Linked DNA regions of Oryzias latipes. The protein of the gene in region 1 interacts with the protein of each later gene in a pairwise test. Links are inferred from orthologs where the notes say so. Each region holds a gene or a part of one and is shown on either strand. Other genes may lie near its edges. The genes, in order: vim, ppl, nod2 and yae1d1.

Region 1 (7,456 bases):
TGGCGCGAGCTTTGCCGCGCGGTCTGGCTGGACGCGTTGAAGCACGCGCCTCTCTTCCTGGTTCGGTCCGACTCCGGCGCGGACTGGCTCCTCTCCGGGTCATGCTTGTCGGGCTCGGAGCCCACTTTCACTAAGGCGTTCCGGGTTCTGGTGAAGGCGGAGGTGACCGAGCCCATCCCGGAAGCCCTGAGCTGAAGAAGTCTGGGCAGGAACTAGCGCGCGCCCTCCGAGCTCACCTGTCGTCTTCCTTTGTACCTGTTGGAACCGGGCGGCTCTGCTCGCCATCAAAAACGCGCAGTTCGTTCATCACCGGCAAGTGTTCAGCTGCAAACCGGGAAACAGGTGGAATGTCGGAGTTTTAGGGAAGCACCCCCTCCCCCCGTGTTTCCTCCAGCTGACACGTCACGTGGGGAAAGTTGCCCCGTCAACAAACGTGCCTCTCCCGGGAAAATGACGGTGAGTTTTATTCTGATTCACACCGGAGGTTTCTAGGAAGTTTTTATGGATCAGTGACAGAATGGAAAATGTGTGTGTGTGTGTGTGGGGGGGGGTTAAAGTCAGTTGTAACTCTTTATTGTTGTTTTCCTTAAGGAGAACTAGTATCTGAATAATCGCGGGGTTTTTACTGAATTCAAACTTTTTGATGAACTTTTTTGTTTTTGCTTGTTCAGGGTCCTCCAAAATCCGTTACCGTATTTCACCGACAGGTGTCAGGAAAAAACCCCTCTGCTTGATGAAGTCACGCAGGTGTGTTTCATCCCCTCAAATCAGACCTGGTGAGGTTGAGGCTCTGCAATAATGTAAAGGACCCAAAAAGTGTCAAATAAATCAAAATAAACCCCCCGCGGGTGGTTTCTCCTCCAAGCTCGGGTCCTCTATCAGAGGCCTGGGAGCTTGAGGGTCCTGCAGGATCTTAGCTGTTCCTGGTACTGCTCTTTTCTGGACTGAGAGGTCTGAGGTCTTTCCAGGAGTATAGCCACTCCTCCAGCTTGGGGGTTGCTGCCCCGTCCCTGTTCTCATCCCCACCTTGTGACTAGAAGTGAGAACAAATACATATGAATAAAATTTTACCAGGATTAGTTGTGGTTTAACCCAACTCATTTAATTAAGTTCATTTAAACTGTGGGTCATTTCATTTATTCATAATTCAGACCATTTTTAATGCCGTATTTCTTGTGAGCAGATGCAGAAAGTTTATTATTATTTTTAGTTGTAGTTATTTACCGTATAAAGAACAACTCTGATGAAATTGTTATTTTGTCTTAGTGTGTTGAATATTTCCTCTGCATTATTCTGATAATGGAGGACATGTATGAAGAAAATTTGGCTTAAAATTGTATTTCTGGTTTTCTTTATTTAATTTGCTGTGAATCAGGAGCAGATGAAAAAAGGATCATATTTAGAGGAAAGTCTGCTCTGCGGGCCACCCTTTCTTTTTATTTTGTACTTTATGAATCACAGAAAAGCAAAGTTCCATGAGCAGAATTTGGGCCGCTGAGGCACCTGCTTTTGACTGCAGCCCAAAGCACATAGCCAACCTTTAAACCCTCCAGCAGGAGGAGGGCCCACGGGGGAGTGATCCCACGTCATCACTTTGAGCTGGATCCAAACAGGACCTCTGGGAGGAGTCCCCGCCACCAGGCGATCACCTGCGAAACCCAGCTCCAAAGTGGTGCCCCGGTGACGCCGATCCGGGTGACAAAACTCAATCTTGTTGATTTCTACTCATAGAGGGGGGTCTAAACCGCTCTTTGTCTGGGTCATCACTAAGGAGCTGTCTGCCATAGGACACCCCACCATGAGAATGAACCCCTGGCAGCTCAGCTCCTGGGATAGCAGGAGCTCTTCAACCGTTCCACCACGTCAAGGGGGCAGTCAGGAGGCGGCTCAGGCATCGGGTCCCGATGCTTTCTGGACACCCCCCCTGGGAAGGTGTTTCGGGCATGTCCCACTGTGTGGAGGTCCCGGGGAGGAAGCGGTCGGGGAGAGGGAATCTGGGCATCTTTGCTCCGACTGCTGCCCCCATGATCCATTTCCAAATGAGAGGATGGAGCGGCAAAAAGTGTTCCTCTAAACCCAGACAATCTTATTTCCCTTTTAACTAATGGAAATTAATACAAATGAAAGGTTGTGTCCATAAAGTGTAATAAAACATCTCAGAGTTACAGTCTCCAGAGTTTATTGCTGCATTCAGGAAATAGTGAACTTCTTCTTCATAGTGCATGCTCAATCAAAATACCACTTTGGTTACAAATAAATGTTTTTGCAGACCTCAGTGAGGATTTTTATAGTTTGTTCATCAATCCATCTAAACAAACGTGACAAAGTGCTGTCAGCAGAGAAAAAAAGCAAAGCACAGTGTGGAAACTAACAAGCTTACTGGATCATCACATGTAAAAGGCACTTTCCACGCTCCTGGTGGTCGTTGGATTGATTGGGGAAACGTGGATCTTCTTATTGCTCGCATCAGCTGTTTGGAAAAGGCGTCATCACTCCATGTCATCATGGTTCTGGGTCGACTCATTGATCACCTGAAAAGGGTGAACTAAATTATTAAAAATGAGAGATCAATCAAACCGATCAAAAGACTCTTAAAGGTGACTTTACCTGACCGTCCCTGGTCTCGATGGTCTTGATGAGAACTTTCTTGGTTGTTGTGGTTTCAAGTTGGGATCTGGAGTCAACTATTGCATCTGAGGAAGAACATTTGTCAAAGATCATTAAAATAAAGTTGAATATTTTGGGTTGGAAATAGGCTTTTGAATAAATAAATCACCTCTAAGGTTTAGAGAAGACAAGTTTGGCAGAGGAGTGGAGATTCTGCAAAGACAAAAATTTACAAACAAGAAAAAAGGCTTTTTGTTAAAACATTTACAAAAAGAGAGCGCTAACAGCAGCTTATGCCACACACACAAACACCGGGCATGTAAAGAAACACACCAAACAAGCATTCTTGAATGTGCTTTTATTTCATGGAATTTGATCTGGACTGTCGCTATCCAATAGTGCATTTACCTACAGTTGGAAGAGGCTTCTGGGCCACCGTAGAAATGTCTAAATCTGGTGAGTCTTTGCTCCAGACTTTTTCTTTGACAGCTCGATTCCGATATATCAGACTTGGGGTCATTGAATTCTAGCCGGGCACAAACCGCAATTATCATTTTATCTTTCAAACGGTCGGCACGTTGGTGCCTTGAAAAGGACGCCATCCATACGTGACTACCAAATTCGAGTCTCTGATTGTTCAAACCTGTTTAACTTTTAATGTGCATTCAGCCTGAAACAGACTTAAAATCATGTGTAGCGATGCGTGGACATGAGAGCTTTGAACCCGAGAGCTCAAAACGCGCATATGCATGTCCATAGACCTTTCATTGGAAGTGGTGAAGGCCCATTTCCGACCCTGATGTGAACGTAGCATTACACAAACCAAATCGTGGATCCGTCACCTGCTCTCCTCTCCTTCCAGCAGCTTCCTGTAGGTGGCGATCTCAATATCTAGAGCCATCTTGACATTTAGGAGGTCCTGGTACTCGCGGAGGTGACGGGCCATCTCATCCTTTATGTTATGCATGTCCTCCTCCAGGCGACCGATGGTGTCCTGGTATCCGTTAGACTCCAGGGAGAAATTCTCCTCCATCTCCCTCAGCTGACGCTCCAAAGACTCATTCTGGGACGCAAACAGATAACAAGCAAATACAAAAAAGCTGATGGGTGCTGGTTTTCAAGCTGCATTGATTGACACACCCCAAGGCTGACGATGAAGGTATCGTTTTCCTTAACTGCTCACTCACAGTTCCTTTGAGGGCGTCCACCTCACAGGTGAGAGCCTGAACTTGGCGCCTGTAGTCGTTGGCCTCCTGCTTGGCCATCCTCAAAGCTTCGTTGTTCCTCGCCGCTGCTTCAGTGAGGTCAGCAAACTTGAAACGACAAACAGAGGACGGGCAGGGAGCTGAAGGTGCAGAAAGTCAACTCTACGGGGGTTTTTTTCCGCAATTCTTCTTTCCAAGGGAAGTTTTGAAATTATTAAGGGATGGGCACAGGACCAACGACTTGGCGGCCATTTAGTGGCAAAGTTGGGAAAGAAAACTTTTGCTGGAGCGATCTTCACACACGGTTAGGCCTAGAACCATAGTCAAAGTTTTGACCTCGTAAAGAGGCGGCCATCTTGAATTAAAAAGAAAATGTCCCCTTTGGCCACCAGCCACAAATTTAAACTCCTTTTAGAGATGTCAATCTATCGCCTTCTTACTCCTCGAGTATCATTGGGATTTTGAACGGCGTTGGCGTGGCGAGTTCACAGAAGTGACATTCTCCTGTTGCTTGCACATTTTTTACCAGAATTCTGTATAAATGTGTAATCCAAGAATGCCGGGCTCAAATGATGTACCGTACCATGTGACCATATTAGGAATGTAGGCGTGGTTAACATAAAACCTCCGTTGCCAAGGAAATCCCAAAATTTACTTTTCTCTGATTCGTCTAAAAATTACATCGCCCTGTTCGTCACCTTCAGGCAAACAAGGAATTATATGGTTGCTATGGAGATAAAACCAACAGAAAAGTTAACATTTGGAAAAAAAGTGTTTTTTTTTCATCAATTTCTTTCACATTTAGCTTTGACCGGGGTGGCTGGGGAAGATTGGGGGATTGAGGCATGTAGATGCTCAGCCAGTAAGGCTAGGTCTAAAGGGGGCAACGAGGGCGGTAGATATTCTGATTCAGCATATTCAGCATTTTATATTTAACGATTTACTGAGCAGGAAATGATCAGTTGGTTTAAAAAAAATTTGTGAAGAAGGAGGCTTTTACTATAGTAGACAAAAACATGATGAAGTCTGAACTTGCAGTTTTTTTATTTATTCATATTTCTGTATTTACTCCATGTTATACTTTCAAATTTCACCCTGAGTTCTTACCTTCGATTTGTACCATTCCTCTGACTCTTGGATGTTCTTGGTGGCCAGGTTCTCATACTGCAGGCGAACGTCCCTCAGAGCTGCAGTCAGGTCGGGCTTTGCCACGTCCATGTCAACCTGGACGTGCTGTTGCTGCTGCTGCACCTGACTCTGAAACTCCAGCATTTCCTGCAGCAGACATGTTCACGTCAGTCTCCAAAAAACACTAATCAAACTCCTATTCCTGCACTTTTCCAGGCATCTTCAGACCACCTGGAAATTTGATAACACCAACAACATCTATGCGGCTTCTTTTTGTGCATCCCTATGAGATTTTCAAGTGCAAGCGCAGTGTTTCTGCAGCAACCCGACGCCGCCTGGCCTCACACCGAAGCTTACCTCATCATGCAGCTTCTTCAGGAAGTTGATTTCCTCCTGAAGCGACTCAATCTTCCGCTCCAGGTCCAGTCGAGCCAGGGCAGCACTGTCCACGTCCTGCGCCATGACACTCACTCTTAATAAGGTGACTTGTGAAGGTGACATGAATTATGCATTCTGCTGACATATTCTGATGCACATGCTGTGAAGAGGACTCACAGCACCTATAAACAGTGTGTGTGTGTGGGTTGTGTTGTCACCCAAGGTCATAACATGAATCCAAAAACAGAAAAAGCAGCCGTGGGCAGGCCACACATGTCCTTGCAGGTGCTGCTAACATCATGTATTTATTGACACCTTCTGTTGGTTGTTTTTAAGATATGACACAAAAATACAAATTATTTATTCCTTCTCAACTGCTTTACCCTGGAAAATGCGAGAAAAATTGTTTTCTGGGCTTTTTCAGGTAGTTTGACACAGGTAACAAAATGATATTAAAGTCTTGCACGATGTTGGGTGTTGGATGGCCCCCAGCGACCGCCCTAGTGGCCCCCTTTCTAACTGCCCTCGCGGGCTGAAGGCCGTGTCACACAGCCACTATACGTGGTCATACGTGATAGTTGCGCCGTGTGCACAATAAAAATATTATGCATCTGGAGATTGTGCGTGAAAAGTCTGTCAGACAAACGTGGAACGGTTGTAGAAGGTCACAAATTTGCAAATGCATCTTGCAGAAATCACACACAATTGCGTGAGTCTTACGCGTATACTGTACTTTAAATATGCGTAAACTGCGTAATTTTATACCGACCAAAAATTTTGAGCAGCTCAAAACCTAAAATCATGTAAAGGCCCGTTGGCTGAAACCCTCGACGGACATCTGCGCACATCCACGAATGACGAACGCAAGAAACACTAATGAATGACGTAAATCACGCATGGATCAAAACAGACAGACATGTCATACGAGGGAAAATGTGCGATATGTAGGTAGTGGCTGTGTGACACGGCCTGCTTCCTCGCAACCAAAATTACCTTTGTACAAAGACACTAATTAAGCTAAAACTGCTAATATTTTGTTCAACATAATCAGCCGTTCAAAATCTGAAACTTACAACCGACATTTTTTTCCCAAGTAGGTTGCCAGTGTTGTTCGAAGAGCTTTGAGGTGATAGACTAAAACCACTATTAGCACTTTATTAAAGATCTTTTAATGGAAGAGTCCAGATGGCAGCCTAAAAAAAAACAGTGGCCAAATTTGACTCCTTGGGTTCTCCAGGGTTACTACGGCTGAAAATAGGTGTCTCATTATTTGTCCACATTCTGACCAGATGTGCACCTAATTTATGACAGGAAACCAGCAGATTTGTGTGAATGAATAGAAAGGAACCTGAGGTGGCCTTTGTGTGCCTGCATAGCTTTATTTTAGGAGGGACAAGGGAGCAATTCACTGGGACTTTTCTAAAATACCTTTTGTTCAGAGCATCCCAAACCACCAAGCATTCCTGTAGAGCTTCCTAATCTCTTTTTTTTATTATTAGCTGACTCCACTCTCAAACTAAAACTCTCCACGGTTCATTAGACTAGAAAATTAATTCCATTATTAAAAGTTTCCCTTTTTTTTTCTTTTAATCAGTTTCTTTTTCTCTTAACTCACATGCACTTGCAGTGGCACCGTGCAGCTTTGCAGCTTTGTCGGGGCGCTGGCAGGCTTGTAATTGACGTATCAGCAAATGAAGCAGCAGCACCCCCCTCCCACACTAATGCCACAAACAAAGTGGGCTATTCAGCAGGGTTTTCCCAGCAAGCCCCAGGCTGGGAGAGTGACTGTCTGCCTGACTGAGCAGGAGCTGCGGCCGCCGCATTGTTGTCTCAGTGCCATCCATCCTGTCGCTCACACAAATTCCACATCAAGCCATTTATTTTCTTAAACAGTCGTCAGAAAATGTTCACTTATCTTGAAACATGAGGCCTTTTTTTTTTGCATTTACATGATTCACCATGACACCCTGTGACGGCGGGACAGTCCCACTGCCACACCAAAACAAGTGAGAGTCTGATGATCCGGGAACGGGACAGCTCTGGTCACATGTCTGATCCCTCTGAGATCCACACTGTAGTCCTGCCCTTTCTCTGTGACTAGTCAGACTCAAACAATCTGCTTTCACTGCAGGCCTGAC
Region 2 (6,977 bases), on another chromosome or scaffold:
CAGCTCCAGCGCTCGCCAGCGAGACCTGCTGAGTCTGCGCGACTACATGCTGCGCTGCACCAACGAGCTGTACTGGATGGACCAGCAGGCGGAGGAGAGGATCAACTATGACTGGAGCGACCTCAACCTGGACTACCCAGCCCGCAAGAGGCACTATGAGGTAGCTAGAGTCTTTTAGGACACCAAGTCCCTCCAAAAGGGATTCCAAGTGATTAATGAAACGCCATCTCACTCTTCAGAACTTCATCAGCAGATGTTTGGAGTCTAAAGAAATCGGTATAACGGCTCTGAACAATGATGGAGAAAAGCTGATTAGTGACCAGCATCCAGGGAAGGCTGTCATTGAGGTACGTTCAGAGCGTCAGCATCTGACTCCCATGATGCTTCAGTGGAGATCTCACCCACTAGTGGACCTTAATGTTCAAACTTCTGACTGACCTGCAGCAGTTAGCAGCACGCAGGCTGTTGCTGTGACTGTTGCTGACAAATCCTCTGTTTCACTGAACGTTTTCTTTTGGGGTGAGCTGGCGGCCTGTCTGCAGTGAACAGGGCATTGTGTTCTGCATCCTGATTGGCTGCAGATCATTGTTAATCTTCTCTGCGCTGCGTCTCCCCACAGAATGTGTTTAGTTTGTCAGTTTTACAGCCTTAAAACATCTGGAATCCTTCCTCACAGATTTCATCCATCGCAGGTTATTTTTCGATCATGACCCCACGTTAAACGGTCGACCGCTGCACAGATGGATGGATAACGTTTACATTTAGTCATCCTCCACTGTGAGGACCAACCGGTGGCTTAACAAGCACTTAAAGGACTGATGCGTTTGTTCATCGCCTAGTGGCTACGGCGTGCCGATGGCCCCCTTTACATCGTTATCAGAGCTGTTTTTTATGGCGGTTTGATGTTCGAACCCGGCTGGCCCATGTCTTCCAGACGTGACTGTTTTGTTCTCTGATTTAGGCTCATATGGAAGCAGTTCATGCTGACTGGAAGGAGTACCTAAACCTGCTTATTTGTGAAGAAAACCACCTGAAGCACATGGACGAATACCACCAGGTAAGACATGACATGAAGTGCTTTGACTGCCGTATTTACAGGCAGGTGAGGCTCACCTGTTTCTCTATGCAGTTCAACAAGGAGGCACGTGACACCCAGGACCTACTGAAACGGCTGGAAACCGAGATCAGCCAGAAGTACAACCCCGAATTTAAGGATGTTTATCAGATGGAAGGCCTCATCAGTGAGCTGGACGTAGGTGTTCTGCAGTCCAGACTGCAGCTGACCTGTGCAGAGCTGAAGCTAAGACGTCCTGCTTCTGTGTCTGCAGGATCAAGCTAAGGCAATGGACCATCTGGATGAACGGGTCAAGGCTCTGCAGAAGCGAAGCCTGCAGGTTCTCCCTCTGAGGTACCGCAGGGAAACGCTCCAGAAGCTGCTGCCCATTGAAGCTCTGTGCGAGTATGACACCGACGAGGTACGCGCCACGTTCACTGCAGCTGCTGCTTCAGGGTTTGCTGTTTGGTTTGTGTTGCACTTTCATGACAAGAGAGGCTACACTGCTGCAGATGAGTACTATGGATACTGTTACTTTCAGAAAACGGCTTTATGGGTATTTTCAGCATAAAGCAGGTACAAAGTCTGAGAGGAACTGAAGAACACTTCTCATTATCCACTCTCTATAACAACCCCTGCCCAAAACCAGGAACAAGCCTTACATAATTAGCCAGATTTCTTTCCGTCAGGACATTTGGAAGCAGTTCTGTTGCTGTGACTGGAATGCATCAGTCAGGACGCAGGGGGCGATGCAGCAGCAACTTGCTCCATTTTCTCAACAATTATCTGTTGAAACGTGTGTCTGCTGCGCTGATAAAAAGGAGAAACGTAATATTTGTTGGATTTATGATGATGCTGAAGAAGTGTGAAGAAGAGCAGAGATGTTTCTGGTTCACCAAGGATCTGTAGAGCAGGTTGCAGTGGAAACAGTTTATTTTTCTATGACTATGGAGGTGTGGCTTATTTGGACTGTTTTGTAAAGGACACATTCTTTAATAAAACAGCTTTTGTCACAAATCTCAGTTTGAACGCTGTACTTTAGGCCTTTAGTAGATAGAACGCCGTCAGAGGGTCGCAGACAGCATCTTCCGTGTTCCTAGCCAACAAAGTGAAGGAGCAGCAAAATATTTTGGAACAGAGACATGGATAGTCTGAAGGAAACGTCAGCTTCTGCACCCAGACTGGTTTAAGGGGGGGGGGGGGGGGGGGGCTTCCAAAAACCGGGACGAATGCTGCTCATTCACACACAAATCGTTGACGGTTCTAATGGAGCCGGCTCAAACGATGCCGGTGGCTCCAAGATCCATGCTATTAAGGTCTTTGGCTAAATCTAGTTTATCATGACAAATACAGGTAAACATAGTGATTCACCCCACAGAACAAAAACCAAAATGAGCCTGTTATCTTCTCAATGGTTCCCTTTTTTGTCTGGGTTAGAGGAGAGCAGGTTTCATCACTTTTACCTGAAAGGAGGCAGCATCCTTTTTATTCCTTAGGAGAACTTCTGTGTTCTTCTGCACTCTTGAGTCTTGAGGAGAAGATGTCATCTGCAGCCAAAATGACCACATTGAATTTGTTCAGGGCCAGATCCAGCGTGGGGAGAGGTACACTCTTCTGAGGAACAACGGCACACGGTGGGACGTGAAGGATGCAGCTGGACGTAAACTGACCGCCCCTGCAGTCTGCTTTTTGATCCCTCCCACCGACCCGGAGGCTGTGGCTGTGTCTGACAAGTAGGTCACCTTTCCTCACCCTAATGATCTAAAGCATTAAACAGGAGGAACACAGCTGAGGAGCCCACAGGAAGATCAGCCCACACCTGTAAATGCTGCTCTCCAAAGAGTAGAAACTGTTTTAAAAAGCTTAAAGAGCTTAATCTCAGCGTTTGTGCTCACAGACTGGTCAGCCAGCAGAAGGCTGTCAAGCAGAAAACAGCCAGCTGCAAAGCGTCTCTGCAGAAGCGCTTTAATGAGCTGCAGAAGGAGATTGGAGCTGGGACAGGTAAAGCACAGACTGACTGTTGCAGTAAACATCACAAAGCATCTCCGTCCTCAGCGGGCTCAGACCTCAGCTTTGTTTCTACTCTGACTGTAGACAAGGAGGAGCAGCAGTGCCGCCAGCTGATGGCCGGTTTGGATAAAGTCGTCACCGACTTAGACAAACAGGAAAAAGCTATTTATGCACGAGTGCGCCCACCGCTGGAACAAAGCCGGCCACTGCAAGACGGCGCTGACCGCCTGCAGGACATGAAGGTAAGGGTCCTCATTGATCCTGCTGGTAGACACTTCCAGCTTTAACAGACTCATTCACGCTCTTCCAATGCTTTCCTGCAGGACATCTCTGCAGCTGTTGACAAGATTAAACCAGAAAAGTCCTCCAAGGTGGAAGAGGCCAGACGCTTCCTGGTCTCTAATTCCAAGTGTGCCAGTGCCCCTCAGCTCCACAGCAAGGCGGATGAGACGGAGAAGAAGTGTGCCAAGGTGGAGCAGCTTCTACAGTGCTCCCAGGAGAAGTATGGCATGTTTTTGGCTTTTCAAGTCCCAACTCAGACAGTCTCTGCCCAAGGTTTGCTTCACTGCATTCATCTAAAACGTGACATTTCTTTAGGCTAAAAAATTCCCACCAGCTGGAGATGTCTATTCAAAATGGAAAAGCTTTAATATCCACATATGAGAACAAACTGGCCAGGGAGGAAGTTGCCCCACGGGACATGTCCTCATTGGAAAAAACTCAGCGAGAACTTGCTGTAAGTTCCATTCGTGGATGTTCAGCTGGCATCACAGCGAGCCACAGATTTTCATCACATTCTCATGCTGCTCCTCCAGAGTATGGCTTCAGATCTGAGGTCCAAGAGCTCAGTGATGGCGGAGTTGGAAGAAAACCTGCGTTCAGCCAGAAACAGTTGCAACAACATGACCTCCAGGTTTCATGAGCACTGTCCAGACATTGAACGACAGGAAGCGGATGTGCAGAAACTCAACAAGCGTTTCAACAACCTCAACAGGCAGATCGATGCCAGGTGAGTCAGTGAGAAAGAGGAACTGCAGCTATCCAGGCCTACAGTCTCCACAGCCGATTTCTCTGCTGCCCCCCACAGGTCCCAGAGCTTGCAGAGAGCCAAAATGGCATACAACAACTACCAGAACGACTACGACAACTTGAACAGCTGGCTGTCTCGTGTCCCAAACTATGAGCCCAGAGAAACTGATGATCTCAGACAGGTGGAGACTAAGCTGAAGAACCAGAGGGTGAGATCACCACCTTTACACGAGCTGTGCTGTGGAAGAATACAGTCACTGAAACATGTGTTGACTCCAGCAAAACTCCTTTTCTGCAGAACTTGCTCTCTGACATCACAAGGAAGGAGTCAGACTTGAACAACGTCTCCAAAAATGCCAAGCTGTACCAACAGGCTGTGAAGGTACAGATATCCCTCTGACTCCCTAAACTAAACTAAACTGAAGTGAGGTGGAGGTCAAATGTTTACAAGTTTTGTCTGCAGGACTATGAGGCTGAAACAGAGAAGTTCAAGTCAGTCTTGGATCTTGAGGATGGTCTTGTACCTCAGAGCTACAAGAGAAGCAGACTGGAATCACCTGCAGTGAAAGTCAAAGAAGATGTGAGGCGCTGCCGTCAATGACACTGCTCTCTCTCTTTCATCTGATTCAGCCTTCGTGATTGGCTGTCAGACACCACCACCTAATCCAGACGTTTCCTTTAATTCTGCGTCTGTGCTTTTTCTCAGTGAAAGCAGAAAGGGAACCGCTGTGATGGCTGTCAATCATTGTTGAAACAAAGATGTCTTCTTCTAACACTTTCAGGAAGCTGAAATTGAGTCCAAGTTCACAGAAGTGAACGCCGTAAACAAGCAGAGGCTCCAGAATCTTGAATTTGCACAAAGCCTTTTAAAACAGGTAACATTATTTACCACGTTTGTAGCATCTGCACGCAAACCAAACAAATCTATGCCGATGATATAATATTCTCACTCTTCATTCAGCAACCCGAGGTCCCTATGATCCAGTCTACAAATGTGCAGTCTGTCCATGCCGCTCCTCCAGGGGAGGAGCCTTGGAGAATCAGGAAGCAGCTGGAAGATGAGACTCAGAGGAGAGAACAACTTGAGAAGGAAATCAAGAGCATCCAGACCAACATTTATGAACTGGAAGGACAAAAGCCCCAGGACACCATCGTGAAGAAGGAACTAATCAAAAATGTTCCAGACCCACAGCTGGAGGAAGAGGTTCATAAGGTCCAGCAGAAGCTGTCAGAGGAGCGCCGCAACACCCATGTCCTGGAAAACGACTTGGAGGTGCTGAGGCTTAAGTTGCGTGGCCTGGAGACCGAGCTCAAAGAGGGGGCGCAGCAGTACACTGTAAAGGAGGTGCTACGTATCGAGAGGGACAGGGGGCAGGAAGAGGAGGTCCGCAAACTTCGCGATGAGCTGGAAGAGCTTAGAAGGCAGAAGATGATGAAAGACAATGAGCTGACTCAGATAAAAAAGCAAGTGACCCTCCTGGCTGAGGAGAAAAACAAAGAACAGGAGGTGATCACCGAGGAGCAAGTGATCAAAGTTCAGAATGACCCCCAGCTTCAGTCTGAGTACCGGCTCCTGCTTGAAAGGAAGCAAAAAGAGACGGATAGTAGAAAAGAGCTGGAAGACGAACTGAAGTTTCTCCAGGAGAAGCTCCGAAGGCTGGAGAAGGAGAAGGCCATGGCAGAGGAGAAGATTTCCATCAAGGAGGTGCTTAAAGTAGAGAAAGATATGGCTCTGGAAAGGGAGGTAGAAAACCTCCGGAGACAGTATGAGGATGAGAAGTCCAAACGCAGATCCTCTCAGCGGGAAAAGTCTGACCTCCAGAGAAAAATTACAAGCCTGGAGGAGGAGAAGAACAGGGTTGTGGTCCAGGAAAAAGTTAGGGAGATTGTCCGTCCCGATCCAAAGGCGGAGAGTGAGGTCGCCAATCTCCGTCTTGAGCTTGTAGAACAACAGAGGCGCTTCAAGGATGCAGAACTTCAGTTGAAGTCTCTGCAGGATGAACTGACCATGCTGAGGAACCGAGGACCTCAGGTGGAGGTCAAAGAGATGATCAAAGAAGTCATCAAGTACAAAACAGACCCACAGACCGAGAAAGAGCTGGAAGGTCTTCGTGAAGAGATCGTTGATAAAACACACCAAATTGAGAAATCAGAGATGGAAATCCGCCAACTTCGTGACGAAATTCAACGATGGAAGGAGACAAAGCCTCAGGTCCAAACTAAAGAGGTGGTCAATGAAGTGCTGCAGTACAGAGAGGATCCCAAGACCATGGAAGAGATTGAGATTCTAAAAAGAAAGCTGGCTGATGAGCAAAAGAAACGCCTTGATCTGGAGAGAGAAAAGTCTGCCCAGGAGGAAAAGATCAGGCTAAAGAAGTTGGATCTGTCTCAGGTCAGAGAGAAGATTGTTGAGGAAATAGTGGTCGAGATGGTAGAAGATCCTATCCTCAAATCAGAATGTGAGAACTACGTCCAGACCATCAACAAGGAGCAAGAACTGAAGGAGAGCTTAAAAGCAGAACTCTCAAGGCTGCAACGACAGATCGCTGACTTAGACCTACAGTTGGAAGAACTGGAGCGGGAGCGAAAGGCAAGACGTGAGGCGGAACTGGAGATTCAGAGGCTTCGGATCAGGCTGAATGAGCTGGAAATCCGGGACAAAGAAAATCGCGAGAAGGTGACAGTCAAGCAAAAAGTGGTGCTGCAGCAGGATCCCCAGCAGGAGAAGGAACACTCTATCCTGAAGCTCCAGCTCGATGAAGAGCGGCACAAGCGTACCTTGCTGGAGAAGAGGCTGGACGCCCTCAAGCAGCAGCAGCTAACCTTGGAAAGAATGGACGTGAAGGAAAGAGTCGTCCGCACTGAGAAGGTCCAAGTTGAAAGG
Region 3 (7,754 bases), on another chromosome or scaffold:
GTAACGCCAGCTGGACTTCAGTGAAGATAACCTCAAGAGGCATGTGGTTGGTCCTTCCGTACGTACTGAGAAAACAGGACTCTGCTGACACAGAGCTGCTCAGCTTCTCCTTGAATCTTTTCAAGACCTCTAAAGGATAAAAGAGGAAACAAAGTAAAGACAATCTACATTTGTGCAGGGGATAAAAATATCACAAAAATCTGACATTTGTCAGTCCAAAATCTGCATAGAAACTTTTGTCACTTCTCTTTTTTTATTTAGAAAGAGTGTAACCGTGTTTAAAATAGTTTAGGTCCAAACCACAAAGTAAAAGACAGAAATACCCCTGCTGGAAACCTAAAACTTTCACACCAACTCACCGTTTACAGCATGGCAGTCATTGGTCAAAGCAATTACGTGTAATCCACTTAGTGCAAATTGAATGAAAGTATATCTGTCTCATAATTCAAAATAAAAGTCAATACCCAAAATGCTTTTTCATTGTCACAATAAAGCTGCATTCGTTGACTCAATATTAAAAGGAAAAATCAATCCGCCAAACAGCTTTTTCTTTTTCGTCATTAACACCGCTCATTCTGTCACTTAATTAAAATGATAAAGAAAGAGGTATTTCACATTTCACTTTCAAAAAGTTTTCTAGTACATGTACCAAGATTCAATTAGATATATCTAATTTGCCAATTAATACGGATTAACAGAAATGCTTTTTCATTTTCACAATGTAACTGCATCAATTGACTCAAAAATAATATTAGAAATAAATCCTCCAAAATGCTTTTTCCTTTTTTTCTACTTCAACACCGCTCATTCTGTGGTAATCAAAGCGATAATGCAAAGAGGGGATTACATGATTGTTTTCACATCCACCGCTCAAAAACTGTCACATAATTCATTTCCAGTCAGCAGTTCCAGGGAGGAGAGATATGCTTTCATAAGTTTTGACCTGTTTTACAGAACACTCAACCCTTGTGCTATCTTAGATGACCCCACCCTTACATTCAGAATCATTGACGTGTTCTCCCTACCATGACAAAGGTGGATAAAGGTGACACCAGTGAAGATCACAAATCATTGAGGAAAAAAGGTTCAGAGCACTGTCTATTGGGTCTAGATGACCCAACTCCCGATGTTAAAGTGCCTAGGATAGCACAAGGGTTACAGAAATGTTGGTGTTTTATCATTTGAATTCATTTTTAAAGGTCTTTGTATGTAAATACGGACTTTTCTTGTACATACGTCTTTTTTTTATTCTTAAAGTCTGGAATTGTTTATTACTTTTGCACTGAAAAGTGTTTTATTTAAATTTTTACAACTAGTCATTTTTTCTTTTTTGCATTAAAATCTTATTGCTGATTTAACTTTATTAAGTCTTGCAAACTAACTCAGAATTAAACTACTCCTCACACGAATGGCAGAAAAAGAATAACAGGGTTACGCAGAAGAACAAATTAAATTTTATTTTATTTTTTTCACATTTGCACGTGAAAAATGGGATTAGTTCAGCAACATTTTAATAATTAATCATGAAGAAGATTCATCCCTGATGAGGAAATACCTGTGGTGTTGGTGAGCTTGTCCTGATTCGGGGAGGTTTGGGGTTCTTCACTTTGCTGACTGAACTGCAGCAGCATTTTTGATGCCGACTCGCCTTTGGACCCGACATGATCCAGAAGTCGCCTCGCCTGAACACAAGGAAGCACAATCAATGCACATATTTGTATGGAACATTGAACAAATCAAAGTTTTTAAGAACTTAAAAAGTAAAAAATGGAAAAAACGTAAATAAGTGGACATGCTTTTGTTACAAGATCAATCAACCAAAAAACATGAGAATTTACTCAATAAAGGAGAACTAGATTTCAGGTCTGATAAATGTGAATCACTTTAAGTGTTGAAATGGGTTGAACGGGGATGAATGAATGATTCCTGTTTGCAGACATGACAGCGCACACGAAAAAAATCCCTCACAGCTAAACAACAGCCTCTCACATTTACCTGCAGCCATCACCAAAACAATGTCAGTTGTCACCGTGTTGCTTATGTTTAGTGATTTTGCAGATGTTTGTATGCAAAGTGACTTAGAAATGAGGAACATGACGAGAGTAAAACTGACAGTCACTCATTTTAGGTTAAAAGTGCTTTAAAGAAAAATCTTAGGTACAAGAAATGTCGAGGAGTGGGTAGTTTTTTTTTTAATCTGTAAGAGGAGAACAGTCTTTGGCATGTACTTTAAAATTGTGCAACGGATAGAGAGTTGCATATCTCATTCGAGCTAAAGAATTAAGCTGCTGATCTTTTGTTGGGTGGTGCCAGGAACACCAGTTGTTGGGAAAGGTTGTGGGCGAGTGTCAGGGTTTAAAACACAAACAGGGCAGCCACAGTAAGCCAAAACAGAGTCAGAACATTGTCACTCACTCGGTGTACCCGAATTTGGTCAATTAAGTTTATAAATTCATGGCTCAGGTGCACCTAGAAGACATACAAACTAAGGTTTTTTACATCCCTGCTGACATCAAGAGGCCTTGTTCGCTCTACGCTTCCTTCAGAATACACAGATTTCAAGTATTAAGCAAAACTTTGGTAAAAAGTTTGACCTTCTTTAATTGCTCAGTTCAGTTCAAAGCACATATTGTCTCATGCTGCACAAAAATGGTTAGTATTTAAACAGAAGCGAGCTGCTAAAAAAACCCCACATATATTTATGTACTCTTTGTGAACTTTTTCTACTGGATCATAATGCAGTAAAGTCATGTTTATGTTCCTGTTAACAGCAGCAGGAAGAAAAAAAAGATGATATCTCACCACAGTCGACCTAAAAAATAAAAAGTGAAAACACTGTTTATGCCCTGAGTTGTTTGAAGAAGTACATTAGCTGCACAGAGCGTCTTTGTTTTAAAAGAAAGTCATTTGACCTCCTATATGAGCTTCTCTCAAAAGTAAAAAATATGTTCACATTTTGGGAAAATTCTAGTTTCTCTTTATATTCGTGTATATATCCATGACAAAAATGAAACAAAAATCATGTTATAAAAGTAGAAAGGACATGAAATTTCTCTTTTAATTAATTTTAATTTTTATGTCATGGAGTATTTATCCTATCAAACCTTTTCCAAGTCCTGGTAACTTTTATTACAGTTGTTTTTTTCTTCTACTTGGCACAGCAGAGAGCATCAAAAAACAGAGCATTAAAAAAACAAAAAGACACTGGAGCAGAAAAAAGATCAGAAAAATATAGCAAACAGTCAATTTGACTGCTATGGCCATTTGATCTTTATCTTTTGTGTGTTTTTTTTTAAATGACGTTAGAATAAAACATACACACAGTTTCAAAAAGTCAGGGTCTCATTAATCCATACGTTAGCAGGATTTGATGTAGCAAATTTTAAAAGCAGTTGAAACTCTCTTTAATGGTTGCTGGTTTACTATTTAAGTGGGCTGTTAGAGCTGCTACTGAGTGGAACTTCACCCCCATGACTATTAGAAATCAAATCACATATAAATCATTTAAGACACAGTTAAAGAAATGGCTCATTGACAATCAGAGCTGTCAACACTACGTACACTTCCTATCACTGATTACCCGCTACTATCTTGTCTTGTGTGTGTGTATATGTTTATGCATTTGTCCGATTTGGATTGTTTTATTGCCAATTTAATTTTAGGTTAACTACTAATTTTACTGAATGTATGGTTTAATATATGTATGTAATGTTATGTAAATATGTAATTTTATTTTGATCTTGTAAGGTGATTTTAACATCTACCCAGATAAAAAATTGAATGAATATTGACAGAAATAATTATTAATATGCGCTGTCCCTGTATCGAATAAATAAATAAAATCTAAAATTAAAAAAAACTCTTGAAAAATAAAGGAACTTTAAACCAAAGCAAAAAAATATATATTTAAACACTTTATTGTAATATTTTAATAAACAGTTGTAAAAATGCAAATACCTAAAGCCTGCCTACCCAATCAAGTCTTGTTCATTTGTGTTATCCTAAAAATGCTCACCTGCTGAGACGGGGTGTAAACAGGTAGCAGCACTTCATTAGCATCTGCAGAGGAGAAGTGTCCAGACTCCACAAGAGCTTCCACCGCATCATGAACGGAGCCCTGCAGTTTCCAGACCAGACTAGGTCTTCGTTTCAGGACCGTCTCCGTCCATGTCCTCTGAGTGACTTCTAGTTCATCCAAAGTGGATGAGTGTTCTAAGAAGCAAAGACCAGCCCCCTGCTCTTTTGGCAGAATCTGTTTGAGAGCAGCGAGGAAGAGCTCACAGGTGTCTGCACCCTTTGTGTAAACCAGGTCAAGCAGGTTTCTGGCATTGCTGTTCAGTGGTCTTCCTGTAACCTGTACGTTCTGGTAGTCCTCCCATGTGATCTCTTCCTGAGCCAGCAGTATATCCAAAATGCTTTCCAGATGTTCAGCTGACCCACCACTGCAGAGAGCACGCAGAATCTCTGTACGCTGCTTCAGCAAACGCTCCATGGCAGACGGGCTTTTTTCGCATCAGCTTCCATGCTCCAAGATTCCATCTTGGACTTGTGCTGCTCGCAACGCCCCAGCCTGCCAAACACAGATGTGATCATTCATGGCAAGAATCCACGAGTTTTACAATTCTCGCTTTACAAGTTTGCATTGGACGCCATAGGTAGACAAAACACAGCTCTTTAGTGATCTCTGTATGGCGTCCATCCACATGAGTCACATTCTGTCAAAACCTGAAGATATACTTGAAAACCTGCTATTAAAATATGATCTCTCACTACGAAATGTCAGCAATCGGGGCTCCTTCTCTCATTTGGGCGTCCTGAAACATTTGTTGGTGAGCCTCTGTCTGTCCTCTTCCTCATTCCACAACTGAAAGTGAAACTGGTTTTGCACAACTTTAATCAAAAGTAAATGTTGGTTAAAAAAAATAAAAACAGTTTGTCTGAAGTACTTCCCTGTTGGGGCGGATTTTGCAGCATAGATTTTCTGCTTAGTTCTATCACATGTAAACATATTTCTATAGCAGAAATGTGAAGGTTTCTTTATATTTTAAAAAAACTTTAAAGACAATGCTCATTTCTCCCTTTCTTTTATGTAAAAGCTGTGCTGTGTGGAACATGATCAAGTAGAGAGAAAGGTTTCAGAGACGAGGGTTGCAGTTTGATGCTGCGCCCACTTGATGGAACTGTTGCGTAATAAAAAAATCTAGCTGGTTTGTAGAGAAACCTGTGACTGGTTGACATTGGGGTTGACATATTTCTGAATTTCTGCAGCTATGTAGTTTTTTTTGTGCCTTTTTTATTTTAGAACCCAAACAAACTGTATGTGAAAAAAGGTGAATAGAAATGTAGTAAAATCAAAAGATGAGATACATAAATCATATTTTGCAATGCTTTTTCAATTTCTTTTTCAATTTCTTTCAAGTGGCTGGGATAGGCTCTGGCAGCCTTGTGACCCCGAAAGGGAACTAACGGAAGAAGATGAATGCTTTTTAAATTTTTTTTTTTTTTTGCTCCGTCCTGACCATGTGATTGTTTCGTTATCAGGCCTCTCTGTTCTGAAGGGAAACATAAATGAGCAGAAGAAATCAAAGATAGCTTCTTTTCAGCTCCTCACCAAGAAACAGGCAGCTCCCCCTTGGGGAGTGTAATGCAGAGTACTACCTGTAAGGCATCCTGTGTGAAACCTAAAGGGGGGATACTGTCATCTAAATAACAGACAGGAGTCCAGAGCAGCTTGAGAGACTTTAAAAATAAGGTATAAAGTCACTCGTGCGTCAATTTATTCAATTCAATTCAATTTTATTTGTATGGCCCAAATTCACAACAACAGTCGTCTCAATGGGCTTTGTATCGGGAATTGAAAAAGTGAAGCATGAACTCAAAAGGATCATGAATACATAGAGTTCATTAGGAAAAATACTAAAAGGAACTAACAAACTGACTAAGCTATACTGGCATCCCTGCCCTTAGACCCCCCTTCCTGGTAAGGAAAAACTCCTAAAAAACCGGATTCCGGAAAAAACGAAAACGATCATTTTAATGTTATATGCGTGCCGTATACATAATATAAAAGTTATACATCGGTGATACATGTGGGAAAAGTCTGTTGGACATACATGGAAAGCCACAAATCTGCGTGTGCATCGTGTAAAAATCATGCACAGATTTACTTATTGATTGCGTATAAACTACGTAAAATACACATAAACTGGGTATTTTACGTAGCGCAAAATGTACATAGGTGGCCCCTGTGCAGTTCAGTGAACCACCTCTGGGGTGTCCCTGCTGAAGAAAACAACAATGTAAGTGATTTTAGCTTTTGCACTTTATATAGACGCTGCTTTGAAAAAGAATATGAAAAACATTCAAAGAGCCCATTTTTCTGGGCCATTAATGGCACCTCCAGCTTCAAAAATTACCCTTTAAAAGAAAATGAGCTCTCCGTCTGTGCTGGCAAGTGCAAGAGCTGAAGGTCACCAAGAAAGAAGCTTGAAATGAAATAAGACGTGCCAAATTAAAAGATTAGCTGCCATTTATTCAATAAAGACATTAAAGGTGAGTTTAGAAAGGCAGGCATGAGAAAACTGACTCATAGGTTGGAGAGGTTTGTGTGTGATGGTAGAGAGAGGCATTAAGCTCTGGGAGTGGATGACATCTACTTTAGTGCAGACAGCTTCAGAGAAGCATGTGTGGGTGACTCAGTGTGTATCGGTGGGTGTGTCAATCAGGGGGCCTAATTGACATGAGGATTAAAGCTCACATCTAAGAGTCTGTGTTTTTTGCACAAGCAGCAAATGTGAACAAGTCTGGTCTCCAGTGTCTCCCCAAGGTTTGGGGTGCTGCGCTCAAGGTTAGCGCAGGCGCCCCGCTGAGCGCGCATCGTCTGAGATGGGTCCTACTTGTTGGACATTCATTATCAAACTCTGTTTGCTCCTTTCATCTGCAGCTCTCTGCAGCACTCAGCGTAAACTACTGAGGCACCTTGCAGCTTGACATCTCTCCATTCAGTCTGTACCTTAAACAGCATGCTGCCACATCAAAGAGCCACGGCTGCCTTTGATGTTGCAAAAAAGAAAGAGCTCCAATGATCTACTAAAAACCAATGCAACTTTCTGAAGCCTTGTTTTATTCATTTGCTATGTCTAGAAGTCTGAAGTCAGGCTCTAAAAGTCCAGACAGCAGATTTGGATTTTGCTTGCTGGATTGTCCTCTTTGCTGTGTGAAGCAAAGGCGAGACTCTTCATAATGCTGTGCTGAACGGGGAGTTTTTCTTCCGTGATCTTGTCCCGTGCTGCACCTTAAACTGTATGGGGAAATGTATTCCAACTTTAGGAAAAAGATGCAAATGCAGCGGCACAGTGAAGGCAGCTGCCCTGTAAACAGCTGTAGACATGCAGAGATGTAAACGTATACAGATTTCCAGGGGAATTTAAAGATGATGTGACATGGCAGCTCTTTTTAGGTCTGTCATATTCTACGTGCTCAGGTTTGTCCCTATAGAATGTAACTGTCACCATAAAAGAAAAGAAAAGCTCACAACTAGAAAAATAAATAATATTTCCGCTGTGAGTACTTTTAGTATACATAATCTCATGCATTACATCAATACTAAGTTCAGAAAACATCAGTTGGTTTATTAGGTCATTAGCTCTGTCATGGATGATTATTCTTTCAGTTTCACAAAAAGAACGTAATCAAGCAGGTGGATGGCTCAGTTGGCTGCCTGTAAGACTGTAAGCAGGGTTTGTTTCCCAGAG
Region 4 (7,680 bases), on another chromosome or scaffold:
GATGGTTGGGTATGAAGTCAACGCCCGTTGTAGCCATTTTTGACGTTTATGAGGCCTTGACCTTTGACCTCTCCCAAAATTCATCGCACACTAGCATATTTGTGAATCTGAAGCTGGGAAAAACGACTTCAACTACTAACAAACAAAAAAATGTGCAGCACAGATCCATGAAACTGAAGTGTACTGGCCTTATTTGACAAAGTTGTTCAAAGCATGGCATCCACACTTTAAATATCCACACATTCAAAACACGCGTGGCTAGAGAGCCTTAAGTGGACACAGAGATCAATCACATTCATTCAACTTCTGCTGAGTATAAATCTCACTTTGGACCAAACTATTGACAATTGAAAAAAAGAAAAAAGCACCAAAAAACTGGATTTGGGGCTGAACTGTTGGACAGATTCATCATATGACTATAGAGGAGACAATAAATTTCAATTGTGTTCAAAATAAATGACTTGAGATGGACTAATGTTAAATGTGTTATGTTTGAAAACAGCTTTAATAGTTTTATGCAGTGAGACTTTAGGAGATTCGAATAATCAAGGAAACAGGAGTTACCTAGTTACCTAATCCTATTTAAATGTTTAACTTCAAATTAAAACGTTTAAGTAAAATCAATGTTAACTGTCCGCTTTAATCTCAACATATTGGTTTTATTTTACAAAAAGAGGGCAAGTAGATAAAAAAAATGCAGTAATAACTTAACTTAAGTGAATCCTAATATTATGTTATGAATGAAATGCAAGGAAGTATTTTACATTTTAAGGGCAGCAAATTTTAAAAACATAAAACTGTATTGTTAAAAAATGAACGTACCTTTATTCAATTTAAAGTCAAACTCTCAAAAGTTGAACCCTCGAAGCTCCTCTTGTTTCACTTTTGTGGAGCAGGTTAGCCTCTTAGCCTGGCAGCTAGCTGCAGCAAACTTAACGCACAAACGTGCGTTTCTCCGGAGCGACTGCCGTGCGGGGAACTCGATGCCGCCGCATGTAGTGCGTTCCAGCAACACCTCAATGTGGACTCCCGCAGCACAACGGCGCACAGAACGCGAAATTTCAACGAGCTTCCCGCGAAACATCTGTACGCGGACCCTTTAGCTTAGCAGGAGCAGCAGGTCACGGTTCGGTCCGAGGGTGACGTCATACTGATGTGCGACTGAACTTGTGCCACGTTCAGGTGCGCCTCGTAAAAGAGCTGCCAAGTAAATCACAATACGATGTTTCGCGTTCAAAATCAAAACTATAAACTATACTCGTATATGCTTGATTTAATCTGTACATATCTAATTTAGCCTTACATTGTGGGGAATATTTTTTGTATACATTCATTTGTAAAATCGTTTATATATATATATATATATATATATATATATATATACTTAAAAACTTTGCTAAAACCTTTTTGAAGCTCTACAGTTGTATAAAAAATATTTTATCAATAACTTAGTTCCCGTTATATGCTCTAAAATAAGTTACAAATTTTCTCGATAGAAAACCTACTCTTTAAATTAGCAGTTGGTTTGCATTTATAAAAAAAAAGCTAAAAATAAATATGTAAATATGTAAATTACATATTTATTTTTAAGAAAAGGTGAAAATAAAAACTTTCCCCATTTTTAGAACAATAGGTTACAACCAAACCTCGTGTCGCAATTTCAGCATTAGAACTTAAATACCCCGCTGTTTTTACACACCTTCTGTTTTGGATCAAAACAGATATTTATGATCAAAAACATTATTTACAAACCATAAAATGAAAAAGTAATCTTTCATAAATTATACACATTTCTGTTTGTGAAAGAAAAATGTTCCAGCAAGACTTTTAGTCTGTAAATAGATTTAAAACATGCTGCTCATGCGGTCGATGTTCCCGAGCTCGTGGATGTGATCCATCAGCTCCTGCGGCAGTCCCAGCTCTGATGCTAAATCCATACAGCACTGCAGGAGCAGGTGTAGACCTTCACCTGGGCTGGAGGAACAGCTGGTGGACCCAGAGCGGATCTTTTGGTTTTGGTGAGGGTTGTCCACATCCATATTTTCATCTCTCTTGTTACAACACGGTCCACTTCCTCCATCTCTGCAGAGGGAGGGATCCTCCTGCTCCACATCGAGAGCGTCCATGCTTTCCGAAACGTCACTCACACTCGGAGGGGGATTTTCCAAAGCCTTCCTGATGTCCTCCATGATCTGGGTTTCGTGTTCTGTAACCCGCTGCAGGAGGTCGGTCACAGGGGTGGGAACTGGTCTTTCTGGATGCTGGATCTGGCACCAGCACCAGACCGCCCTGTGGCGGGGAGACACAGAGGGAGCCGTGATGCACATAGAAAAGACTGGAGCGGCCGTCTGACGGACAGAAAAGCGCATTCAATAAACCATCACAACAAAGGAAGTCAGGATGTTTCTGCACAAAAACCCTGTGAGGGATTCTTTAGTCAAAGAGGAACAAAAGTGAAGTGATGATGACGTCAAAACACTTAAATGACCTTCATCGGACAGTGAAGGTCAGAGCTTCCCTACTTCCTTTACAACTAGTCAGGATAAAATGATTGACTTTACTTTAAAATATCAAGTTATAAATCATTAAATCATTCATAATTCACCCCTAAACAATCAGGAAACAGATTACAACTATGCTAAATGTCACAAACACATCATTTTTTACACTTTTTTTTAACCAAGAAAAAGCTAAACTGAGTGTAGTAAAATCTTGAAATTAGTGTATTTTAAACATGTATAAAGATTAGCAGTAAAACGTTATTTTTTTCAGTTAAATCTCCCCAAGTAACGCTTTAGAAACAGCAGTGCTAGCCACACTTTTTAAATTGTGATTATTATTGGAACTAAGACTTGTTGACCTTTTTTAATCCAATTATTTATTATTAAAAATTACTCATTAGCCGAGAAGAGTGTAAAGATTAAATCCCACTACACCTATAACATTTGAAAATTTCTGAAACTGAAAAGACAATCTGTTTTTTAACGTTTGTAAAGCAGATTTGATTAAAAAACATTAAATAGAAAATAGGGCAAACCAGCTTTTTTTTAATCTATAGCAGAATGTCTATTAGGTTTAGGACAAACAGAGCACAATATGGATCCATATTTCCTATTTTAAATCAGTGTTTCAAATAAAATGAAGGAAAAACTGTTTTGAAATTTCAAAATATAAGTGAAAAGAGCAGAATTTATAGTTTTTCTTTGGTCAGACTGCATCATTTACGCTATAAATCAGCTACTTTTACTCAGTACTTGAGTTGCTGTTTTTAACCTAATTTTCAAATTTACTTAAGTGGAAACTGGAATTACTACTTGTTACTTCTACTCTGTTAGTACTTGGGAGCAAGGCTACTCTTACTTGAGTGGGAATTGAGCATAATCTATAGCTTTCAGTGACATGTCAGGTGAATTTTACCCCAGAATTCCTCGCAGTCGACCCACAGCTACAGTCTGGGCTGCTCCTTCCTTGAACCCCAAGTTAAACCCGACCTGAAGAGAGGCTTCCTCCCCGGCATCAACTCCATCCACATATCCGTCCTGTTCGGAAGAAAAGAAGTCAATAAAGTAATAATAAATAAATAAATAAACGCCAATAATATGCTAACTTTTTTTTTTTTTTTTTTACCATGACGCGTTTCTTCATGTTGGAGGTCCACTCTTTGCTCTGTAAATGAAGCTCGTCTGCGTTTTCGTCGAACACATCTTCACTATTAAGCGACGCGGATTTCACCCAAGACATCATGAGCGAAAACGGACGGCAGGTTTCTGCGACAAACGTTTACTTTTGAGTGGAACTGGACTGAAAACGAGCAACGCTTACAGACATTTTAGCCGCCTCTGCGCCTGCTGCTAGCTAACGCGGTGACATCATCAACCTGCGACGTAGCCTCAAAAATGTTAAATATTAAGAGGAACATTAAAAAGAAAATATTCTTATTGAAATGTTATATTATATTCAATCAAAGTTTGTAAAAATATTATTTTTATTTAAACATGTAATTTAAGAAAAAAATGTATTTTACAACAATGCTGGTGTTCATATTGACGTTTAATCTAATTTAATTTGAATTTCTACTTAATGTTTATTTGCTTATTTGATTTGTCGTTTTCTTGCATATTCCAAAGAATGACAAAAAACATTGATGACAACAGAAAAAAAAGGAAAAAGATGGTTTAAATTCAGACTGCATATGTGCTCTACACATGTTAATTATTATAGATAAAATATTGTCATTTTTTATTGGGAGAAGAGATTTAATTACATTTTGAACAATTTTTGTTCAATATTTTTTGTTAATTTTTATTAATAATATAATCTCTGTAGACAAGCCTGGATTAATTTGTTTAAATGTTGCACACATAACTCCACACTTAGCTAAAACTACTAATTGTAGTATTAATTAGTCTATGCTGCAATTAAGGCCGTATACTTGAAGTTTAATTTTTATACATCATCTATAAATTGTAAACTTAAAATGTCCCAATTAAGTCTGAAAAAGTATTTAGCACATGTACATAGACTATAGTATATTTGCTGTATGTATGCTTATACTTATGTATACCCAATAAAATATGCACTGTTGTAACTATGTAGTTTGTCCTCTTTTGGTGAATAGCAGGTCTGTTCAAAGGCCTGTTTAAGTTAGATTAGTCCTGTCTTGGTGCAATCAGTGACGCCTCCAGAAAATTTTCATGGGGATGGCCGGTAGGGGACAACTTTAATCTTACTTTAATCTTAGGGTGGCACACAAAAAAATGAGCAATATTTTTAAAATTCATTCTACTAAACGTAGTAAAACAACCTTTAGAAAACTAACATATGTTAAATCACCACTGATACTACTACTGTTATTTTATACAACATTAACTTATAGTAGATACCACTATGCAGTAGATACTAGTAGATATCATTAGTAGACACACATTCATCTTCTGCCATTTTGTTCCTTTCTGGGTCACGGGCTGCCGGACCCTATCCCGGCCACTTGTGGGCGAAGGCTGGGGACACCCTGGACAGTTCGCCAGTCTGTGGCAGATTAGTAGATCCTACAACTGATAATTTGATTAATTGTGTTTATATTTAATGCTTAGGTGTGTCTGCTTGGTGTGTTCGGCTCTTGACTGTTACATATCTATAATGAACAAAAAGTGAAACCAGTTGTTCTGAAATAAAAATAAAAATACCTATTGACATTTCTATTGAGATTAATTACACATGAAACAGTTTTATTATTAGGGCAACATATTTCTAACATCACCTGTTGGTCCAGGAACAGGTCAAGCCCTTTTTGCTGAGTTCTACCTTGTTTCTCTGACCAATGATGCTGACTTGTCCTCGTCTGATGCCGTCTCATCTTTGTCTTCCTCCTCTTCAGTCATTAATATTGGCTGTGGATCATGCTCTGTACTTTTCTTCTTAAAATAAGAATATACGTTGACTTTCTCTTCGTTCTCTGAAAATTGACATACACAAGCCTGAGCTAATGACTATAGGCAACTCTGTGGAAATAGGACAAAAACACATCAAAATTTTGCGGTAACACAACACATCACACTCTGAAAAGAGTATTTGGGCTGTAGTTGGAAAGTTAAACTTTTTTACATTGATCTAACTTAATTATCTAGTTTGGTGAAAATATTTTTTTTTAGTTCAATCAACTTAAAAATAACCCCGTAGTTGTCGGACATAGTTATTTTACTTTCAATCAACTTAATTCAATTAAGTTGGTGTAACTTTGGTGTGAAGCTGTCAATGTGTCATGACGTCATATCTTGAGGCAGAGCAAGCATGGCCGGCCCTCCCTATACGCGAATTACGCAGCCGCGTAGGGCCCCCGTCACCAGCAGGGCCCCGAAGTGGCGACAAAAATTAAATTAAAAAAGACCCAAATCTGGCAACCCATTTCATAGAACTTCCTTACCAAAGTGTGCTCTGAATGTTGTGCAAAAGAAAGTTGCCTGCACTTTAATGATCCCCCCTGTCAGCACACATGAACCAATTTGGCAACCCAAATAATGACGTTACACCATTTAGCAACGATTGGTCAACATAATTGCATCTGAGTCTGGCACAGTGTGCATTTACGAGCGCATTTTGTTTCAATAAAGTTGGGGAAAAGAAAAAAAACAGCACATTTTGTCACGCTGATCAAAGCGACAACAAGAAAACGTCATGCCTCAGAGACTTTATCCACCACCAGGAGCTAAAAAAAGATAAAGAACTTCAACATCAATCACAAGGTAAGTTTGGAGGATGTTGGGGCTTTATTTTTACATTATCCAGCATTTCTGTGCAGCTGCGCAATTTACGTAAAATACGAAGCGATCTGAGGTGAAGTTTGCACATAAACGACCCCCTTTGTCGTAATTTCCCATGGAAAACTCGAAAATAATTTTGATACCCAAGTTTCCAAGATGAGGTTGGACATGACCTTCTAAAACGGCGGAAAGTAAAGAAAAGTAAATAATGACAACTATATGGTGGCTGAAAAATGTTTTAACTCACGTTATCGTTTTGTTTCATTGTTTTGCTAACACATATTTAGTGCGTTCTGCATTCTCCGGTTTATTACAGCATAAAAACTGCTGTTTATCTGTTATAGACAGGTAGTCAGGTAGTCTGAGTTTTACAACAATGAGTGTGTCATAAATCTTGCATTGGCATGAAATATGGAGAATAAAAACTACCAAATACATAGGAAATAAAGGTTCTCATTTATAAATGACAAACAAAATAAATGTACTAATTTTAAAATTATGAACATACAAAATAATACAAAAAGAAGTGTATAAAAGGCTTATATTTCCACTTATTCTCAAATTAGTGTTCACGTTTTATTATTTATAAGTAGGTACATTTTTTTCTTATTTGTATTTTGCAGTTTTGATTCTACATAATGATGATGTTTTGCACAGTTCCGTCTCAGCCGACAGTTTCTTCTGCTCTCAAAAAGCATCAAAAGTATTGGAGGTGGTGCAGCGTCCACATCCCAAGATGTTCCTGACTTCACTGAAGATTTCATCTCAGGTAATTTTAAAAGCATGTAAAGTAATAAAAAAAACAGTGTCTGCATAAACCCTTTTTTTCATAAACAGCAGCTGAAGAGTATGGAGCTCCAAACTGTTCATAATTAAATTAATGAAATATGACCTTATGCAAATATACAATCAAACAATAAATCTCTCATAAATATATCAAAAGATCATGAAATTGTGAAAAACCTGCACACAGATTTTAAATGAGCCACTAAAGTATTATTAGTATTCTGCTAAAGATATTTTATTAGCTTTATCATTGATTATTGTATAATAATAATTCTTGTTTTTTAGCTGCAGAAGAAACTCCTGTCACCACATCTACTGTTGAAAGGGGAAACATTTGACTGTTTTACTTTTCACTGTTTGCTTTTATTGAAGTTCTGTATCTTATGTTCCAGAGGCTCCAAGAGAGGCGTGTATGAAAGAGGAGCCGACTGGATCCAAAATTCCACCTACCGGTACCTCAAACCCAGTTGGTCAAGCTGAATGACCAACCACACTCTCTGATCCAGTAAGAATGGATTTGGTACAAAGAGGTCCTTTTCAGACTGAGAAAGACTCTGACTTTCCAAACTCCCCCTCATTGAGCTGTTGTTTTCTTTATGTTGGATTGTTTTATTGTCATTTGATTTGCTATTAA

Evidence for each region.
Region 2: the proteins of vim (region 1) and ppl interact in binary tests that used the Homo sapiens proteins (3 or more experiments, as listed by UniProt). The link is inferred for Oryzias latipes from reciprocal best matches to the Homo sapiens genes VIM and PPL.
Region 3: the proteins of vim (region 1) and nod2 interact in binary tests that used the Homo sapiens proteins (3 or more experiments, as listed by UniProt). The link is inferred for Oryzias latipes from reciprocal best matches to the Homo sapiens genes VIM and NOD2.
Region 4: the proteins of vim (region 1) and yae1d1 interact in a two-hybrid assay, tested with the Homo sapiens proteins (2 studies listed by BioGRID and IntAct). The link is inferred for Oryzias latipes from reciprocal best matches to the Homo sapiens genes VIM and YAE1.

What each region holds. Positions count from the first base shown.
Region 1 is NC_019875.2:29,283,902-29,291,357, forward strand, and holds the end of vim (vimentin), read right to left. Parts: intron 5,394-7,456; coding exon 5,298-5,393; intron 5,088-5,297; coding exon 4,920-5,087; intron 3,921-4,919; coding exon 3,795-3,920; intron 3,671-3,794; coding exon 3,450-3,670; intron 2,821-3,449; coding exon 2,777-2,820; intron 2,694-2,776; coding exon 2,608-2,693; intron 2,532-2,607; coding exon 2,490-2,531; 3' UTR 2,163-2,489; downstream 1-2,162. UniProt on the Homo sapiens protein: Vimentins are class-III intermediate filaments found in various non-epithelial cells, especially mesenchymal cells. Vimentin is attached to the nucleus, endoplasmic reticulum, and mitochondria, either laterally or terminally.
Region 2 is NC_019866.2:25,748,520-25,755,496, forward strand, and holds part of ppl (periplakin), read left to right. Parts: coding exon 1-160; intron 161-239; coding exon 240-347; intron 348-961; coding exon 962-1,057; intron 1,058-1,129; coding exon 1,130-1,252; intron 1,253-1,328; coding exon 1,329-1,475; intron 1,476-2,635; coding exon 2,636-2,787; intron 2,788-2,951; coding exon 2,952-3,055; intron 3,056-3,148; coding exon 3,149-3,306; intron 3,307-3,387; coding exon 3,388-3,566; intron 3,567-3,661; coding exon 3,662-3,800; intron 3,801-3,879; coding exon 3,880-4,073; intron 4,074-4,151; coding exon 4,152-4,302; intron 4,303-4,391; coding exon 4,392-4,475; intron 4,476-4,556; coding exon 4,557-4,673; intron 4,674-4,875; coding exon 4,876-4,968; intron 4,969-5,054; coding exon 5,055-6,977. UniProt on the Homo sapiens protein: Component of the cornified envelope of keratinocytes. May link the cornified envelope to desmosomes and intermediate filaments. May act as a localization signal in PKB/AKT-mediated signaling.
Region 3 is NC_019861.2:30,235,951-30,243,704, forward strand, and holds the start of nod2 (nucleotide-binding oligomerization domain-containing protein 2), read right to left. Parts: upstream 4,851-7,754; 5' UTR 4,771-4,850; exon of another isoform or gene 4,571-4,770; 5' UTR 4,493-4,570; coding exon 4,016-4,492; intron 1,683-4,015; coding exon 1,556-1,682; intron 130-1,555; coding exon 1-129. UniProt on the Homo sapiens protein: Pattern recognition receptor (PRR) that detects bacterial peptidoglycan fragments and other danger signals and plays an important role in gastrointestinal immunity.
Region 4 is NC_019878.2:20,806,323-20,814,002, reverse strand, and holds yae1d1 (yae1 domain-containing protein 1), read right to left. Parts: upstream 3,885-7,680; 5' UTR 3,745-3,884; coding exon 3,628-3,744; intron 3,540-3,627; coding exon 3,418-3,539; intron 2,290-3,417; coding exon 1,845-2,289; 3' UTR 1,565-1,844; downstream 1-1,564. UniProt on the Homo sapiens protein: The complex LTO1:YAE1 functions as a target specific adapter that probably recruits apo-ABCE1 to the cytosolic iron-sulfur protein assembly (CIA) complex machinery. May be required for biogenesis of the large ribosomal subunit and initiation of translation.